2 linked regions of the Struthio camelus genome follow. The protein of the gene in region 2 interacts with the protein of the main gene of each other region in a pairwise test. Links are inferred from orthologs where the notes say so. Each region holds a gene or a part of one and is shown on either strand. Other genes may lie near its edges.

Region 1 (9,676 bases), on a different chromosome or scaffold from region 2:
CCAAGACAGCATCAGCATGTCCCAAGGGAATGCTGTTGACAGGTCCTGGCCCCAAACGCCGGCCCTTCTGCTGAGAAGCTTGGAAAACCTGTTCAATGTAGCTGCACACGTTCCCTCGGTAGGGCCTCCACCTCCCGAATTCGTCCTGCCATTCCCACACTGCCACCACTGGGGAGTTGCTGTGCCCTGGGGCAGTGCTGGGGAGCCCAGATGGCCCAGCTGAACTGCTTCCTGCCCCCTGGGCTGCTGCCATTTTCCACCCTGAGGTCTGGGACACAAAGCGACTGGAAGCGGCAGCTGCGCTGGCTGGCTTTACACCATCTTCTTCTGAGGGACCTGCGAAGAAACAAAGAGAGCACAGAGAGCTGAGAAGGATGCCCCAAATCCACAGTGCACAAGCCATTTAAGGGAAAGAAACAAGCTCAGCCTTTCACAGAAGACGCTCACTGATGCGTTCAGGAGATTACAGAGAAGTGCATCAGCCTCAAAATCCTCTGGTCAAGGGCAGATCACATACCACCCCCACAGTCCTTATTTCCCTGCCAATGCTAGCAACTTTTCTTGCTAGAGCATAAGCTCTTTCGAAAAAACTCTGCTTCCTACAGCCTGCAGAACCAGATACTACCAGAGCTGCTACAGACCTGTGCAAAACCACCCCAAAGAAGCTGAGGATAATCCACATTCGGCACATCTGTAAGCCCGGACCAGAGTTCAGAGGCTCGCCAGGCAGCAGTGTGCCATATAGCAGGCAGCCATCCTGCACCCCGCCCTTCCCTACGTTCAGACCTGGTCCTGGCAGTGTTTAGCTCTCAAACTACCCCAACACAAGTTGCCAGCTTGTGAGTAGGAGCTCTCTGAGCACTTGTGAACACAAACGACTTGGTTATACAAGTGTTTCATAAACTCTTCTTGCTGTCATCCGAACTTCGGGGCTGCAATGCCAGTTCTGCTCAGACTTCTGGTTATTCAGTTTTGATCCAGAATCAGTCCCTTGAGTCCCTCTGTGTAGCATTATACATTCACACAAAACCAGAAGGTAATCCTTTATGCCCAACCCAAGAGTCTGCAAATCACACTATGACAAAGCAATGTTAAGATCGATCTGAATGAAGAATGGATGGAAATGTGTGAGTATGGAGGCATCAGATGTATTAAAGGGCATATGAAACTGCATTTACTGATGGCACTTAGATTAAGATCCCACCACACCTACCTGCAGCTTCTCAGGTTGGAAAACAAGGGACATCCTGAAACAAGGGATGTCACAAGATTCAAGCCATTAAGAGATGATCTTGAGAAGAATAGAGAATAGGAGCCTTAAGACACCCAGATAAAAAGACAAAGGCTAGTGAGTAAATCCTGATGACTCACAGAAGAGTGACAGGATGCAGAGACAAAAGATCACAGTTACCGTTAGCTCCCAAAGTATATAAAAAGGCAGACACAAAGCCAGCACATGACAGTCAAACTAAGAGTCCAAGAGACATCTGGAGGACTTAATAGCTGGCATCCCTTGTCTGCTGTGTCACTGCAAGGAATCCTGTCCAGACCACCTGGACACGTGCATCTTGGTGCCTGAATGCTGCACAGACCCCTTGGAGAAACCCACATTGGTGCTTGTGTGCAGGTGGATATGACAGCATGAGCGTGAATGAGCAAAGCCAATTTTATTCTAAAATAAAATCACTTTCTCCCTCCTAAGGTCTCACGATGCCGAGTGCTCACTTTACTACCAGCCAACAGGGAGCTATGAGCCTCCTTTTTGTCAAATAGAAAGGTTTAGGTCCCCAAGATGCAGATAACTAGTGGGTGGTATCCACTGGAGGATGCCATCTGCATGGAGAATTACACTCCTACCGGATGGGGGAAGATCCCAAGCTGCTTGGAGCGTCCCATCCATCACTCTTGCATGGTTCACTAGCTTAAAAAAGGAAAAAAAAAGGAGCAAAGACACACCCACGTGTCTGCATTTATAAGAAGAAACCAACACTTTCTCCAGGAATTCAATGAAAATTAGTTATGAGCTGCTCTATGAGATTTTTACAGAACATCCCCAGCTTGACTGCTGTTGGCAACAAACCGCTTTAGATTACCAACAGCAGAAGGCTCTGGTCACAAAAATCATTTTTTGCTGTAACTCATTCTCCACCTAATGTACCAGGGATGGTTATTTTCCTGTTCAAAACAGTAAATTACTTCACACAAACCTCTGGTATCAAACTTGACACCTACCTCTGCTGCTTCTTTTCATGGCAGGTTTCACGCCAACACTATTACTCCTCAGAGACCGTCAGCATTTCCACGCTCTGCTTGAACAAGTATGAGTTTCTGTCCTCCCCAGTATGGGGCTGTACACACTCATTAGATGCTCTGAACCCCAATTAGAGAACAGACACCTTTTTTTCCCCAAAGTCTTCTTTAACAAACACTGATCTGCAGATCTTCAGCCACCAGCAGAGCAGGCGACCAGTAGGAGGATTTTTGAAGGGAGTCAGCAGTTTGTTTTCCTTCCTTTTTAAAATATAGTGGCAGGAAATGGAAAAAAGAAGGAATCACAGCAGAAAAACACCGAGCGCCACCTCGTTTACATACCACCTTGCACTCACTGCAACACTGGCCAAGACTGGCTGAGACCAGAGAGGTAACAAAGGTCTATTATTCACTTCCTCGGAAGGCAGCGACGCTTTGAATTCTGGACCACACGCACCAACCCGCTCCCACACACAAGCAAAGGTACCCGACTGGCTGCATGCGAGCATGGTGTGCTCTGACATTCACTCCCCATCAGTAAGGAGAGCTATTTCCTGCACTGGGAATGCAGGTCCCAAGGAGTAAGGAGTGTATTTCAGCCTCTTCTTGTCACTGAATAGTGCTCTAGCTGGCAGCTGTTTGCAAGGATTGGGAAGCAAGGAACGCACACCATCAGTCACAGGAGAGAACTTCAGTATGCCAAAATTACAAGAGTATCCGAGTTAAGGCACAGAAGGGGGGAAAAAGACACAAGTTGCAGTTCCTTCCCCCTTTCATGAATTCAGTGACACACAAACATTAAAAGCTGAGAAATTCAATATGAAAGCTGCTCGTCTACCCCCTTGGGCTGCTGTGCACATTACACAGGCATACAGAGAGGTTTGGGGTGGGTTGCTAACACAGCTTTATGGATATGGCTGTGGCTTTGGATGCGTTATATATCCTACACCCACTTTGCTGGCATAGTGTTTGGGATGCTAGCAGCAGCAATTCAGCATTACCATCTACAGCATGCCAACGCAGCTCTCTCCTGACCCTGCTTGCCTGCTGCACCAGCTCCTTTACGCTGGCTCTGTTCTGGGGAGATTTGCAACCACTGAGAGAGTAGCTACATGTCTTTGTTAAAATCCCTCAGACTAACCCTTCACCTTTAATTTTAAAAAGAACCTGAAAGTCAAACCTACCCCAAAGAGCTATGTTTATTCAGCAAATAATCCTGGCTCCAATTAGAAATCCTAGTGGGCCACCTTGCCCCAAATGAAAACAAACCCCCTGCTACTTGAAGTGGATACTTAAAACAGTCCAGCCAACTGTCCTCCACTTTGGAGGTGATTTTTAACTTCGGCTCACATCCTGAATTTGGATTTGTTTGGTTTGATCTCTATGCCCCAGCACACCTGTCGTAATATCTGCCCACAAGGCTTTATTTAACTGGGGACTTGGACAAGTTAAAGAATTTGGTGCATTTCAGTTGTGTTTCCCAGCAGATTCGCCTCCTGCTCCTCGAGCTCCAGCAAAACATGGGGAGAAAGCTGGGGAGGGACAGGCAGGAACGAGGGGAATTAAAACATTTGAAAGACATTTAATTCTCAGACCTGTTCTACTTACCATAAAATTGAATTTTCTTTTCCTTTGAAAGTAAGGTCTTAAAAGTCAAAAATGGTTTCTAAAAACCCCACATCCCTTTTTAAGTTTCTGACCTGAAATTGCCAGTGCTAACAAGAAGTTACATGGTGAGCTAGTTTGTACCACAAGTGCAAGAGAGAAGGCCTCAGGAGTCCTTGGGCTTGGCTGGGGTTGCAGGCTCTGTTCAAAAATCACCAGAATGAGAGTCTTCAGAACACGGAGATGTTTCGGCACGTTGTTCAGACACAAGGGTGCCCAGGAGAGACTTGTTAGTGCCACTAACAGCATACGAGAGGTGGCACTGGAAGAGTTACAGACAAGCCCTTATAGATAACTGCTGGAAAAAGATTATACACTGATTAAAAGCGTATGTAAAATAGAAGAAAGCAGTGAGACTGTAATAAGGCAGGGACCCTCGGCAGAGGGGGTGCCTCACTGGAACAGTATTTGATATGCCCTGTGCCACTGCAATGCCAAATGGAAGAGCAGCTAGCCCCCTTGCAGCACCCCGTGACATCTAATCCCCCCCCCCCGGTCTGGACCCAGCGCAACAGGAGCTGCAAATATACTCATGCAACAGGTCCTCTGCAGGCTCTCTGCAAGGGATGAAGCTCCTGCTGGATAACTGAGGGGAACATACTGCAAATGAAAACGGGGCCTCAACTCACAAATCCCAAACCCTTCATTGCTCCTGGGCCATCTGGGCCCAATGGGACACAGCCTGACTCCACCCACAGAGCAAGACTGCCCAGCTAAGCTCACTGCTGCTCAGAGACTTTGCTCTCCAGCCATCTGTGGTCTGATTGCTGGCAAAAGAGGCTGTAATTGCTGCTTCAAGCCCCCAGTTTCCACCTGCGCTGGGGAATATTTTGCAAAAAGACACTCTGTCCTGACCAGGAACTCAGGAAGATGAGCAGGTGACACCATCAGGCCACAACGGTGTCCACAGGGAGAAATGGGAACCGTTTAACCAAGCAAAGATCAGGAGAGGCCAGTCCTTTCCCCAGCTCTGCCATCTTGGGGAAGCCATTTAATTGTTTCCAGTCACCTGACTTCTGTCGCTTTGGCTATCCTAAGCACTCCTTTCCGTACACACATGTCCAGCGCCGAGTAGCACAACAGCTAGCAGCGACCCAGAAGATGGGGAAGGATAGAGCAAAATGGTAGAGGGGAGGTCGCAGTCGGGGTCAGACCTAGACACAGTCCTGCTTTCTTGTAGCCTTCGCTGGTAATCACAGCACAAGGTGGCTGGGTTGGCAGCCAAAAGAACAGAAGAAATAAAACCTGTCCACCCAAAACCTGGATTCCCTCCATTCAAAACAAATTTCAAGAAAATTCCCTTTGGAGGAGGAAATAAAGAGTGTAACTGGAGCAGAACAAAGCATTTGCCTATCAACTAGGCAGAGCACTTATTTCAGGCACAAATGAATAGGAATGCTGAGGCAAAGGGAACAGGGTAGGTACACTTGAATATAAGAACAGTTGCCTGGCATCAAACCAAACCCAGCATCCTGCTCACTTGCTCCAGGGTCCTTCCAGGGCACTGAAATAGAAGATTATCGACTTGGAGGGAGATTATTTACTCATGGGAGTGCAAACCTGGCAAAATCTGGAGGGCTTCTCCATTTTCGCCAAAGCTTCAGCTAGTAACAAGAAAGCTTTTATTTATTTATTTTCTTTTTGCAGGTAGAAAGAAAATCTCCTACCCAGTCTCAGGAAGCCAATTCTCTCAACAGACCAGCACCCATGTCATTTAGAGAAGTTCCCTACTGGACCATGCAGCTGGATTCCAAAATACTATATGAGAAGTCAAAAGTCAAGTCCCTGCCAATGGGAGCTGGTGATTCATTCAATTCACAGCCAGTCCTGCCACTTTGCCACATAACACACCCATTAGAAGTTAAAGATGACCTTAGAAGATTTAAATAAAACACCACACGGCACAAACAGATTTACATCAACAAACTCTTACCACTTCCTTGCTTAAATATACTATCTCCTTGTTTAAACACCAGAAAGCACTTACAGTTACCCACAGACAATTTGCTATTTCCAAGATCCTTTTGCAGACCTACCCTCAGCTTCGGAGGTAAATCAGGAGTTGTCCAGGCAGTAACGAACACCCACACAAACATGAGAGACCATGGGCTGGAAGCAAAGAAGGAACTTAGAGTTTGATGCAAGGAGAACTATGTCCTTGCTCTCTAGGCCGTATAACCATAGCACAATTCATTAAGCACAATAAAGCTAAGGCAGCAGACTTTCAAGAGCACTATGGGATGATTCCTCGAGACAGAGAGGAGCTGCCCTGAGAGCCCAGAGCTTCCAAAAGACGGAGACCCCACTCCCAGCTGCCTGCTCCTGCTATGCACTTTGTATGAGCTCTGCTGCCTGTCAGATCCCTCTGCAGGAATAATCAAATCACTAACCCAGCAGAAAACGAAACCAGGGGAAAACGCAGATAGCTTTCTGTTGGGATAGCAAGTTGAAACGGCTCTGCAGGACTGGCAGGAGGACTTTGCCCACCCAGCAGTGGAGAACGCCTTGCAGAACCAGAGGTGCAGAGGAGTTTGGCAGCACTACATCTCATCAACGTTCGCTTCTGCTGTTTAGGTTTGTAATTCACCCCAGACCCTCACTGTCCAAGGCTGGTACTCAAACCCAGCTCTCCAGCAAAAAGGCTGTCGTCTACTGTCCAGGTAGACAAAAGGAAGCCTGTTTAAAGTAATCCAAACCTTCTGCTTGTTAGGCAACTGAGTCACGGAGCAACTACATGATTAAGCCAGGGTTTAAAAGCAGTCCTAGCACAGTCAAGACTCGGTCACGGGAGGCTGAAGTCTGCGGCAAGCCCCTTTCTTTCCCTTCCTTTCCCAATGTGATAAGGACAGGTCTGCAGAGGTTTCTCCGAGCCCTCTCAGAGCCAGGAGCAGAAGAGCTGGTTTCGCAGCAGCGCGCTCTTCCTCCCAAAGGGCCCCCGCGCCGAGGGCAGCCCCAGCGCAGCCACCGCACGCCGCGAAAAGCAAACCGGCGTCTCGGCCGCAGCGCGGCCGGGCCCGCACCCGGCCGGGCCGCCCGGCGGCGAACGGCGCCGGTTCGAGGCCCCGCTGGGGCGCCGCGGCCGACAGACCTGGAGCGGCTCCCCCGCCACGGGCGCCGGCCCGGCCCGCGGCGGCTCGGCCAGGAGCAGGGGTGGCCCGGGGGCTGCGGCCCGGCCGGCACCCAAACGCCTTAACGACCCGCCGCCCCCGGCCGTGCCCGGGCTCGCTCCGGCACTGCCGCCGCGCCAGGCCCCGGCCCCGACCGCCCCGGCACCGACCCCGGAGCCGGCAAGGCGCCGGACCCCACCGCCGCCCCGGCCCGGCCGAGCGGAGCGGAGCGGAGCGGAGCGGAGCGGAGCTGGGCTGATCCCCGGCGCGCAGCCGCCCCCGCCCCCGCCCCCCCCGCAGGCCCGGGCCGGCCGAGCCCCTCACCGTGACTCCCGGCGGCGGCGGCGGCGGTTGCTCGCGGGGCAGCCACTTCCCGGCCGACAGCGGCGGGGCGGCAGCGCGCATGCGCCGCGCGCGGCCGCCTGGGAGATGTAGTGCGGGGGGAGGGGCGCGGGTGGGGGGTGTGTGTTTGTGTGTGGTCGGTGTGTGCATGCATGTGTGTGCGTGTGCATCCGTGTGTGTGTGTGCATGTGTGTGCGTGTGTGCACGTCTGTGTGTGTGTGTGTGCACGTCTGTGTGTGTGTGTGTGTGTGTGTGTGTGCACATATGCGCGTGTATGTGTGGGTGGGTGTGCGTGCGGGTGGGTGTGCATGCGTGTGAGTGTGTGTGCACGTCTGTGTGCACGTCTGTGTGTGTGCATGCGTGTGTGTGCACATGTGTGCGTGCATGTGTGTGTGTGTGTATGCACGTCTGTGTGTGCGTGCATGCATGTGTGTGCATATGTGTGCACGTCTGTGTGCACGTGTGTGCATGCATGTGTGCATGTGCATGCGTGTGTGTGCACATGGGTGTGAGCATGTGTGTGCACATGTGTGAGCGTGCATGTGTGCACGTGTGTGTGTGTGTGTGTGTGTGTGCGCGCACATGCCTGCGTGTGCGTGCGTGCACGCAGAGGGCTGGAGGGCCGGAGACAAGCGCGGGGTGCGAGCGAGGCGGCTGGGGACGAGGCAGGCGCGGGGGCGCGGCAGCAGGCCCGGCAGTGGCGTGCGCCGCTGCCCTGCTGCCCCGGTGCGTGGCCGGAAGGCGGCCGACCGCCACGGAGCCCAGCGCCCTGCCGGCGACGCAGCCCCCTCGGGCCCGCGGGGCCAGGGCCCTCTCCGCCGGCGGCAGGCTACGTGGCCCGCGGCGGCCTGTCGTGGCCTGTGGAGGCCCATGATGGCCTGCTGTGGCGGCCCATGGCAGCCTGTGGCGGCCTGTGGAGGCCCGTGGCGGCCTGTTGTGGCCTGTGGAGGCTCATGACAGCCTGTCGCAGCCTGTGGAGGCCCATGGTGGCCCGTGGCAGCCTGTCGTGGCCCATGGCGGCCTGTCACGGCCCGTGGTGGCCCGTGGCAGCCTATTGTGGCCTGTGGAGGCCCATGGTGGCCCGTGGCGGCCTGTTACGGCCCATGGTGGCCTGTCGTGGCCCATGGTGGCCCGTGGTGGCCTGTGGAGGCCCATGGCGGCCTGTCGCGGCCTGTCGCGGCCCGTGGGGGTGGCCCGAGGTCTCCTTGTGCAGCGCCGGCCGCCCAGCTGGCCCTGGTGTCACTCCTGTTCCCCTCTGCTCGAGGAGGACGCCTCCGCTCCTCCGCCTCGGTCCTTAGCCCAAGAGCCTCCAGCTCTGCCTCTCCTCCCGCCCGCGAGAGCCGCCCGCCTCTCGCCCTCAGCCCCGGGCGGGTTTTCTTTGTGTCTCTCCCCTTGCTTACACCTCCTAAAGAGGGAGGATCGGAGGCAGGCCTTGTACTGTGTTTGCAGAGAGCGTCTGGAGAAAAGCGCCTTTACCCCGTAAAACGGCGTGGGCGATGCGATACCGCTAAAGCGGGGTGACCGCAACAGCCTGCCTTCCTGGTTGCCTCTGCGTAACCAGGCCAGCGCTGGCGGTCTGGTGCGTCCGTGCGGGAGACGGCAGGAGTTCTCCCAAACTAGAAAGTGTTCTTTGGCTGTCAATAATTTAGGGTCCCTACGAAGATTTATATATACAGATTAATCCTGAATGTGTGTGAAATTTTCCGCATCGCTTCGTTGGGTGACGCTCTGAATATGAGACAGGCCTCATGGGACTGAACGAGAAGCTTCACAACCGGCATCCAGGCAGCGCTAATCATTGCGCTTGTGCCTGCAGGTGGTGCAGGCAGGATTATGAAAGCAACAGAAAAAGGGAGAAGCACCTGCTGGATTAAAGGGCCTTTTTGTGTTTCAGTGTAAAGGTGAGCAGCAAAGAGAGAACGAGATTTGTGCCCTTCAAAGACCTGGAAACGGGGAGAGAAGCCCAGGGAGGTTGTCAGTGCTCTCCGCTGAGTGTTCTGGGCCGAGCTAAATCAAGGCCTTTTGCAGGGACAATCCAGGATTAGTAAGAAAGAGCAGGAGATAAAGTGACCTCACTCTTCCTTACTCTTGAGACCTTGAAGATTTTTGTTTTGATGCCTTTTGTTGAAATCTTTTTGTCATATAGAACAAGAGCGAGATTGGTGCTGTTGCTTAGCAATTGATACGTAGCTCTAGCTCTCTTCTGTGCCTTGGAGCAGCTTTGCTTTCTCTGTTCTCCCGCCCCTTTGGATTTAGCGAGGGTCAGGTTTTGATCTCAGTGATGGGAAAGGTGTACAGGGCTGGGAAAGGTT
Region 2 (9,407 bases):
CCGCCAGGGCCACCCACCTTCTGGCGCTGGTAGATGGCGGGCAGCGGCGCCACCTCGCAGTCCTTGTGCGCCCCGAAGACCTTGCAGAGGGAGCAGGTGGGCACCTCGCAGCGCAGGCAGTAGATGTTGATCCGCTCGTCCTCGTGCTCCTCGCACATGAGGTGCTGCTCCGCCTTGGCGTGCAGGGGCCTGCGGGGGGGCCGGGCGCCCATGCCCACCACGCGCCCCGGCACCCCGACGCCCACCAGCCCCGCGGCCCCGCAGGGGCCCTGCCACCCTCCCTCCCCTCCCCTGGCTCTAGGCCTGCGGCCCCCCCACGGGCTCCCTTAGATCCACGGGGCTCGGTTACCCCCGTGGGCTCCCCCCGTGGGCTCCCCTGGTGCCACCCCTGGCTCCCCCGTGGGCACCCTTAGATCCACGGGGCTCGGTTACCCCCGTGGGCTCCCCCCGTGGGCTCCCCTGGTGCCACCCCTGGCTCCCCCGTGGGCACCCTTAGATCCACGGGGCTCGGTCACCCCCGTGGGCTCCCCCCGTGGGCTCCCCCGGTGCCACCCCAGGCTCCCCCGTGGGCTCCCTTAGATCCACAGGGCTCGGTCACCCTGGGCTCCCCCCGTGGGCTTCCCCGGTGCCACCCCTGGCTCCCCCGTGGGCACCCTTAGATCCACGGGGCTCGGTCACCCCCGTGGGCTCCCCCCGTGGGCTCCCCCGGTGCCACCCCAGGCTCCCCCGTGGGCTCCCTTAGATCCACAGGGCTCGGTCACCCTGGGCTCCCCCCGTGGGCTTCCCCGGTGCCACCCCAGGCTCCCCCGTGGGCACCCTTAGATTCACGGGGCTCGGTCACCCCCGTGGGCTCCCCCCGTGGGCTCCCCTGGTGCCACCCCAGGCTCCCCCGTGGGCACCCTTAGATCCACAGGGCTCGGTCACCCTGGGCTCCCCCCGTGGGCTTCCCCGGTGCCACCCCAGGCTCCCCCGTGGGCACCCTTAGATCCACGGGGCTCGGTTACCCCCGTGGGCTCCCCCCATGGGCTCCCCCGGTGCCACCCCAGGCTCCCCCGTGGGCACCCTTAGATCCACAGGGCTCGGTTACCCCAGGATCCCCCAGTGGGCTCCCCCTGTGAGCTCCCCAGGTGCCACCCCTGGCTCCCCCCCGTGGGCGCCCTCAGATCCACGGGGCTCGGTCACCCCCGTGGGCTCCCCCCATGGGCTCCCCCGGTGCCACCCCAGGCTCCCCCGTGGGCTCCCTTAGATCCACGGGGCTCGGTTACCCCCGTGGGCTCCCCCCGTGGGCTCCCCTGGTGGCATCCCAGGCTCCCCCGTGGGCACCCTAAGATCCACGGGGCTCGGTCACCCCCGTGGGCTCCCCCCGTGGGCTCCCCCGGTGCCACCCCCGGCTGCCCCAGTGGGCTCCCCCGTGGGCTCCCCCGTGGGCTCCCCCGTGGGCTCCCTTAGATCCACGGGGCTCGGTCACCCCCGTGGGCTCCCCCCGTGGGCTCCTCCGGTGCCACCCCAGGCTCCCCCGTGGGCACCCTTAGATCCACGGGGCTCGGTCACCCCCGTGGGCTCCCCCGTGGGCTCCCCGGGGCCGGCCGCACCTGGCCGACTCCTGCTTGTAGATGTCGATGATGTTCTCCACGAGCAGGTTGCGCTGCAGCCCGTACACCCCGTGCCGGTCCAGCACCACCTCGTGGCGGCACGACGGGCACCGGAACCGGCCCCCCGACGGCACCGCGCTGGAGCCCCGCGACTGCCACAGCGGGTTGGACGCCTGGGGAGGGGGGACGGGGGGGGTCACAGGCCCCCCGAGGCACACGGGACCCCCCCCCCGGGGCACCGGCAGCCCCTCTCCCCCGGCCGCCCCGGGACGGGAGCTGGAGCGGGGGGAGCGGGCAGCCCTGCGCCCCGCCGCCGCCGGCCGACACGGGCTCCGGCCCCCTTCCCGGCCGGTCAGGGTCACACTGCCCCCCAACCCCGCCGGGGGGTCGGGGTCTGCTCCGGCCCCCTTCCCGGCCGGTCAGGGTCTCACTGCCCCCCCCGCCGGTGGTCGGGGTCTCACTGCCCCCCACCTCCCGCCGGTGGGTCGGGGTCTTGCTAACCCCCACCTCCGCCGGTGGGTCGGGGTCTGCTCCGGCCCCCTTCCCAGCCGGTCAGGGTCACACTGCCCCCCACCTCCCGCCAGTGGGTCGGGGTCTCACTGCCCCCCAACCCCGCCGGGGGGTCGGGGTCTGCTCCGGCCCCCTTCCCGGCCGGTCAGGGTCACACTGCCCCCCACCTCCCGCCGGGGGGTCGGGGTCTCACTGCCCCCCAACCCCGCCGGGGGGTCGGGGTCTGCTCCGGCCCCCTTCCCAGCCGGTCAGGGTCACACTGCCCCCCACCTCCCGCCGGGGGGTCGGGGTCTCACTGCCCCCCAACCCCGCCGGGGGGTCGGGGTCTGCTCCGGCCCCCTTCCCGGCCGGTCAGGGTCACACTGCCCCCCACCTCCCGCCAGTGGGTCGGGGTCTCACTGCCCCCCAACCCCGCCGGGGGGTCGGGGTCTGCTCCGGCCCCCTTCCCGGCCGGTCAGGGTCACACTGCCCCCCACCTCCCGCCAGTGGGTCGGGGTCTCACTGCCCCCCAACCCCGCCGGGGGGTCGGGGTCTGCTCCGGCCCCCTTCCCGGCCGGTCAGGGTCACACTGCCCCCCACCTCCCGCCAGTGGGTCGGGGTCTCACTGCCCCCCAACCCCGCCGGGGGGTCGGGGTCTGCTCCGGCCCCCTTCCCAGCCGGTCAGGGTCACACTGCCCCCCACCTCCCGCCGGGGGGTCGGGGTCTCACTGCCCCCCAACCCCGCCGGGGGGTCGGGGTCTGCTCCGGCCCCCTTCCCAGCCGGTCAGGGTCACACTGCCCCCCACCTCCCGCCGGTGGGTCGGGGTCTCACTGCCCCCCAACCCCGCCGGGGGGTCGGGGTCTGCTCCGGCCCCCTTCCCAGCCGGTCAGGGTCACACTGCCCCCCACCTCCCGCCAGTGGGTCGGGGTCTCACTGCCCCCCAACCCCGCCGGGGGGTCGGGGTCTGCTCCGGCCCCCTTCCCAGCCGGTCAGGGTCACACTGCCCCCCACCTCCCGCCGGTGGGTCGGGGTCTCACTGCCCCCCAACCCCGCCGGGGGGTCGGGGTCTGCTCCGGCCCCCTTCCCAGCCGGTCAGGGTCACACTGTCCCCCACCTCCCGCCGGGGGGTCGGGGTCTCACTGCCCCCCCCTGCCGGTGGGTCGGGGTCTCACTGCCCCCCAACCCCGCCGGTGGGTCGCGGTCGGCTCCGGCCCCCTTCCCGGCCGCCCCGCACCTGGAAGACGTCGTTGGCGCACTTGCGGCAGAGGTTGTGCTGGCAGGGCAGGATGACCACGGGCTTGGTGAACATCTCCAGGCAGATGGGGCAGATGAGCTGCTTCTCCAGGCTCTCCATGCTCCGCGCCTCCGCCAGCAGCGGCTTCAGCCCCACCGCGAAGTTCATCGCCGCGGTGCCCTCCTCGGCCCGGCCCGGCCCGGCCCGCTCCCGGCTCCTCTCCGGCTCCGCTCCGGTTCCGCTCCGGCCCCGCTCCCGGCTCCGCTCCGGCCCCGCTCCGGTTCCGCTCCGGTTCCGCTCCGGCCCCGCTCCGGCCCCGCTCCCGGCTCCGCTCCCGGCCCCGCTCCGGTTCCGCTCCGGCCCCGCTCCCGGCTCCGGCTCTGCTCCCGGCTCCGCTCCGGCCCCGCTCCTGCCCCGCTCCGGTTCCGCTCCGGCCCCGCTCCGGCCCCGCTCCGGCCCCGCTCCCGGCTCCGCTCCCGGCCCCGCTCCGGTTCCGCTCCGGCCCCGCTCCGGCCCCGCTCCGGCCCCGCTCCCGGCTCCGCTCCCGGCCCCGCTCCGGCCCCGCTCCCGGCTCCGGCTCTGCTCCCGGCTCCGCTCCGGTTCCGCTCCGGCCCCGCTCCCGGCTCCGGCTCTGCTCCCGGCCCCGCTCCGGTTCCGCTCCGGCCCCGCTCCCGGCTCCGGCTCTGCTCCCGGCTCCGCTCCGGTTCCGCTGTCCCACGCTCGCCCCGCTGCCGGCCCCGCTCTCGCTCCGGCCCCGCTGCCCCACGCTCGCCCCGCTGCCGGCCCCGCTCTCACTCCGGCCCCGCTGCCCCACGCTCGCCCCGCTGCGCCCGCGCTAATTTTAGCCGCCCGGGGCCTGCGCGGGGCCGCGGCAGCTGTCAGCGGCGTCGGGTGACACTGAGTCACGGCGCCCGGAGGGGGCCGCAACGCCCCCCGGGGCTACGCGCCCGGCCCCGCTCCCCTGCCCCGGCTGCCCTCCGTGGCCGGCCCTCGGCAGGTCCCCCTGGCCCCCCTCAGCCCCATGCCCCGTCCCCCCGGGACCACCCCATCCCGGTCCCCCTGGCCCCGCACTCCGTCCCCCCCGGGACCACCCCATCCCGGCCCCCCCAGCCCCGCACCCCATCACCCCCGGGACCATGCCATCCCGGTCCCCCTGGCCCCGCACTCCGTCCCCCCCAGGACCACCCCATCCCGGCCCCCCAGCCCTGTCTCTGCCTCTGCTCCGGATCCCGGCCAGCTGCGGGGGCACAGCCCCACGGGGCCAGCGGCAGCCCCTGGCCTGAAGGCAAGGACACCACCACCCCCTGCCAGTCCCTTCCCCAGCCCACGCAGCACAGCAGGGGACCATGCCGGGCGCCATTCCCAGGTGCCATCCCCGCTCCCAATCCCAGGACCCAGGGCTGCCTCCCCCCTCGCAGCCGGCCTCGAGCGCGCGGTGGGGCAGACCCCCCCTGTGCTGCCTGCACTGCTCCCCTGGGACAGGCCAGCTGCTCCCTGGGGACCCTCAGGGCAGCAGGGCTCCCCTGCAGCCCCCCCCCACAGGAACAAAGACGGGGCCGGGGCCGGGGCCCCTGCCCGGGCCGAGGCAGCAGGGTGGGGAGGAGGCTCCAGCCAGGCTGGCACAGGGTCAGCAGAGCTCAGCCGCCCGCCAGGCCCAGGAGGAACAAAGCTGCCTGGCGGCCAGGTTCTTGCCCAACTCGGGGAGGGTACATGCCCTTCCCGGGAGATAACGGAGCTGGGAGCAGGCTCGGGTCCCGTGAGCCCTGGCCAGAGCCAGCCCCCCCCAAGCACCGACATGGAAAAACGCCCGCCAACACTGGTGCCAGGGACACCCCCGTCCCGCACCGCTTGCCCTGACACTCCGGCTATATTTAGTGGGTGAGGCAGCGCGCACAGCTGCAGGCTGGGAGACAAGGGCCAGGGCAGCCCGCTCGCCCCTTCTCCCAGCCTGGCACAGGGCAGGGACCATCCGGGACACGCACGCGGAGCCATCAGCTGGCACACGCGCTGCCAGCGGTGGAAGCGGAGCCGGGGGGGCCGAGCTGTTTCTGGCAGGCGCAGAGCAGGCCTGGCCCTTGCGCAGGGGCACGCCGCACCGCTGCGGGCGCTGCCTCAGCCCCGGCGCGCCAGCCTGGCACCCCAGCGCCTCATCCAGCGGCACGGGGACAGATCCAGGCCGCACAGGGCTGTAGGGCCACAGTCTGCCTCCCGCCCCGGGCAGGAGGGGGAAGAGGGCGGCCGCGGCACAGCGTGTCGGCAGCAGGAGGAAGGACAAGTCCCTTCGCGCACCGGTGGGTGCTGGAGCTCCCAGCGCCCCCGTTAGCCCAGCAGGACCAGGGTGCCCCAGCCTGGCTCCGGCTGCCCTGGGACTGCCCTGCCCAGCCCAGCCGCAGGGCCCGGGAAAGGCCTGGAGCCCTGCTGGGCAGCACCCTCGGGAGGGCGCGGAGCTCTCCCCGGAAGCTGACAGGAGGCAGAACAACTTTCACTCCTGTCGCCAACTGTCCCCTCTGGCAGCACTCGGGCTGCGACCCACCGACCCTTCCTCGGCCCGCCACCCCTATGGTACGGCCACGGCTCTCAGCCAGAGCAGGGCAGAGCCAGGGAAGGGCACGTCCCACCGCCTGAGAGCGTTCAGGCGGCTCTTGCCGGGGTAGAGACCACACAGAAACATGTTCCCCTCCCATCATCCTTTAATGGTGCCCATAAAACCTATACAAACCCAAGGAAAGTGCCTGTGCCTGGGCCCAGCCCTGCAGGGAGCCTGCCAGCAACAGGCAGAAGGGGGTGCAGCCGGCGCCCCGCGACCACGGGGGCACAGAGCAAGGAGGTACAGAAGGCCGCACCCCAGCCCCGCGAGCGGCGTTTGGCACCCAGCACCCGTAAGGAGGGTCCCCACGTGGGCAGGTAGCGGGCTCAGCCCAGCCCCAGGGATTACAGTGCTAATGGTCTCTAATACCCTCGGCCGCTTCCTGCAGGCTGCGGAGCCTGGGCCAGGCGGCCTCCGCGCGCTGCTGGGCCCCAAGGAAAGCAACCGGCTCTGGCAACGGGCTGCCGCCACAGCCGCAAGCAGCGGCCCCCAGTCAAGCCAGAGCCAGCAGGGCAGCAAGGGGCCGAGGCGCACACGGGCCGGGGCGCCCGGTGCTGCTGGTGAGCGGCCAGGCCACGCACCGGGCTGGTCCCAGCAGGGAGCCAGTCCCGGCCTCTCCAGTCTTAGTCCAGTCACAGTGGATCCAGTCTGCCTTCAGCGGGGCCTCACCTGAGAGCTAGCGCCCAGGGCTGGGCTGGGACACAGCAGCAGAAGAGGCACTGCGGATGGGGCACAGCAGCAAGGGGCTCCAGGCCACCTCTGTTGCCAGTGCGGGGATGCAGGGTATCTCTGTGGAGCTCGAACAGGGGCACAAGAGCCTCTGCACTGATGCTGGCTAATTTAACCTGAGATTCTAGCCACAGTGAGGCTGGACAGCCACCCTGGGTGGCACGACAGGGGTCCTGGAGAGGGACAGTCCCAAAGGGGGATCCCTGCCCAGAGTCCTGGGGCTGTTGGCGGGGCTGAGGCCAGCCTCATGCGTCCGTCTTGGTGCTGACACCCGGCGACGGCTCTGCTCCAGCAGGTGGGGGCTGGGCCACAATAGGTGTCTGCACATCTGGAAAAGAAGACCTGCAGGTCAGCGGCTAAATCCCATGCTGCGGTGCCAGGAAACAGCTGCTTGTGACATCCCAGCACCCTCATTCAGCCTCCCACGAACCACAGCTCTCCAGCCCCATCTGACAAGGGCCCACACCTCCAGCCAGCGCGCAGCCACTCCAGCAGTGCCCCCTACCCCAGGGAAGCCTGCAGAGATGACCAGGATCACTCCAAATCCCAGAGTATTTCAGATTGTAGATACCAGCACAGCCACTGCCTACCAGCACTGGGAATGGGACCAGCCTAGAGCACGGCTGCTCTCCCCACGCTCCTTCCCCAAGGATTTCTAGATCCCAGAGCTGTGCCTTCAGGGAGACCTTTCCCAAGGGAAATCAAGGAAGCACAAGATATTCTCCATGAACCCTGCGCAAGAGTTCCCTCTACCAGCTGCCACCAGCCAAGACCCAAGCTGGAAACACCAAGCGTCAGCCCTTGAGCAGCAGATGATGCTAAGTCAGACCCTACTGTTTAACAAGAGCCCGGTCTCCCCAGACAAGACCAGACCTCCCCCAGAAACCCCGTGCAGCAGGAGCAAGCCAGGCACTCCCAGACGCAGGAGCTGGGCACACAAAAGGGAACAGAGACTGCCTAACTCACTGTTGTCCTCCGCACGGATCTGCGCCTCCAGGTCTTCGGGGTTGACATACTTGTAGGACTCGTCCTCCTCAGGTGGTCGGCACCTCCCGCAGCAGAAGCAGCAGCAGCAGCAGCAGCAACAGCAGGTGATGATACCACAGCACAGACCCAGGGCCTGCGCGGGGGCAGGCGCGCTGTGAGACACCTGAGCCCGCCGGCAGCCCAGGCCCCGCTGCGGCCCCCCGGCCCCAGGCTGCCCTGCCCGGCAGCGGCCCCCGAGCCCTGCGGCGTGGGGCCCGGCAGCGGCAGGCGCGCGGTGGCGGGGCAGGGCTCACCTTGAACCACCACTTGGACATGAGGAAGTAGTACTTGACGCTGTCCTCGCCGAACTGCTCGGCCACGTAGAGCCCCATGGAGCCGTACTCGGCGTAGACGCGCCGCTTGTCCTCGTCGCTCAGCGTGGCGTGGGCGCTGTTGATCTCCTTGAAGCGCTCGGCCGCCGCCGGGTCGTCGGGGTTCTTGTCCGGGTGGTACTTGAGGGCCAGCTTCCTGCGGGGCACCGCGGCTGGCAGGGCACGGCACCGGCCCCCCGGCCCGGCCCGGCCCCCCGCCAGCCCCCACCAGGCCCCGTCCCCCCGCCGGCCCCCGGCCCGACCCCCCGCCAGCCCCCACCAGGCCCCGTCCCCCCGCCAGCCCCCACCAGGCCCCGTCCCCCCGCCGCCCCCCGGCCCGACCCCCCGCCAGCCCCCACCAGGCCCCGTCCCCCCGCCGCCCCCCGGCCCGACCCCCCGCCAGCCCCCACCAGGCCCCGGCCCCCCGCCGCCCCCCGGCCCGGCCCCCCGCCAGCCCCCACCAGGCCCCGGCCCCCCGCTGCCCCCCGGCCCGGTCCCCCGCCAGCCCCCACCAGGCCCCGTCCCCCCGCCGACCCCCGGCCCGGCCCCCCGCCAGCCCCCGCCAGGCCCCGACCCGGCCCCCCGCCGCCGCCGCCCCCCGGCCCGGCCCGGCCCGGCCCAGCTCGCCCCGTCCCGGCCCTCCCCGTACCGGTAGGCCTTCTTGATCTCCTCGGGGGAGGCGCCCTTCTCCAGGCCCAGGACATGATAGAGGCTCTCCCCGGCCCGCGACAGCTTCCGCTGCGGCCGGCTGGGCTCCGCCATCCCGCCTGCGGCGACGAGCACCGGCGGCGCGTCACGGCCCGGCCCGGCGCCCCTCACCGCCGCCGCCGCCGCCGCCGCTTCCGCACGGCCGCCCCGTCTGCGCCTGCGCGCACCGCCCCGCCCCGCGCAGGCGCGCTGGGAGCGGCGGCAGTGCGTCACAGACGGACCCCCGCCCCCGCAGAAACACCCCGGCCCCGCCCCCTCGCCCCCCTGCCCCGCCCCCTGCCCCCCGGCCCCGCCCCCTCGCCCCCGGCCCCGCCCCCGGCGAGAGCAGGACGCGGCGCTCGGCGCTGCCCGTTTATTGCCGAGGGAGGCGACGGCCGCCGCGTACAGCCCCGAGCGCGGCAGCCCCGGCCCGGCCGCTCCCCCCGCCTGCAGTCCGGCCCGCCGGGGCAGCACCGCGCCGCCCGGGCGGGCAACGAGCATCCTTGCGGAGAGTAGCTGGCCTGCCCGGGCAGGGCAGGAGGCGAGCCAGGCGGGCAGCCGCTCGGAATAAATACCAATAAATACAGATTCCAGCAGGTGAGCCTGCCCCTGCGCAGAGGCAGCGCCCGGAGGAAGCCGCGAGGGGAGCGAGCCCCCGTACGGGGGCAGGCGCGTGCTTCGGAGGGGCCCTCCACGCCGACCGCCTCTCCCTTGGCGAGTGCGCCGGCTTGGCCCGGGCTGCAGCAGCAGA

What was found. The genes of interacting proteins can lie anywhere in the genome.
Region 1: the proteins of TRIM54 (region 2) and DTX2 interact in binary tests that used the Homo sapiens proteins (3 or more experiments, as listed by UniProt). The two-hybrid records come from large-scale screens. The link is inferred for Struthio camelus from reciprocal best matches to the Homo sapiens genes TRIM54 and DTX2.

Annotation. Positions count from the first base shown.
Region 1 is NC_090957.1:14,470,449-14,480,124, forward strand, and holds the start of DTX2 (probable E3 ubiquitin-protein ligase DTX2), read right to left. Parts: upstream 4,307-9,676; 5' UTR 2,252-4,306; coding exon 2,233-2,251; intron 337-2,232; coding exon 1-336. UniProt on the Homo sapiens protein: Regulator of Notch signaling, a signaling pathway involved in cell-cell communications that regulates a broad spectrum of cell-fate determinations.
Region 2 is NC_090944.1:1,036,012-1,045,418, forward strand, and holds the start of TRIM54 (tripartite motif-containing protein 54), read right to left. Parts: upstream 3,567-9,407; 5' UTR 3,485-3,566; coding exon 3,317-3,484; intron 1,766-3,316; coding exon 1,593-1,765; intron 190-1,592; coding exon 1-189. Other genes in the region: DNAJC5G (dnaJ homolog subfamily C member 5G), read right to left, coding at 6,878-6,960, 7,599-7,752, 7,913-8,126, 8,619-8,731. UniProt on the Homo sapiens protein: May bind and stabilize microtubules during myotubes formation.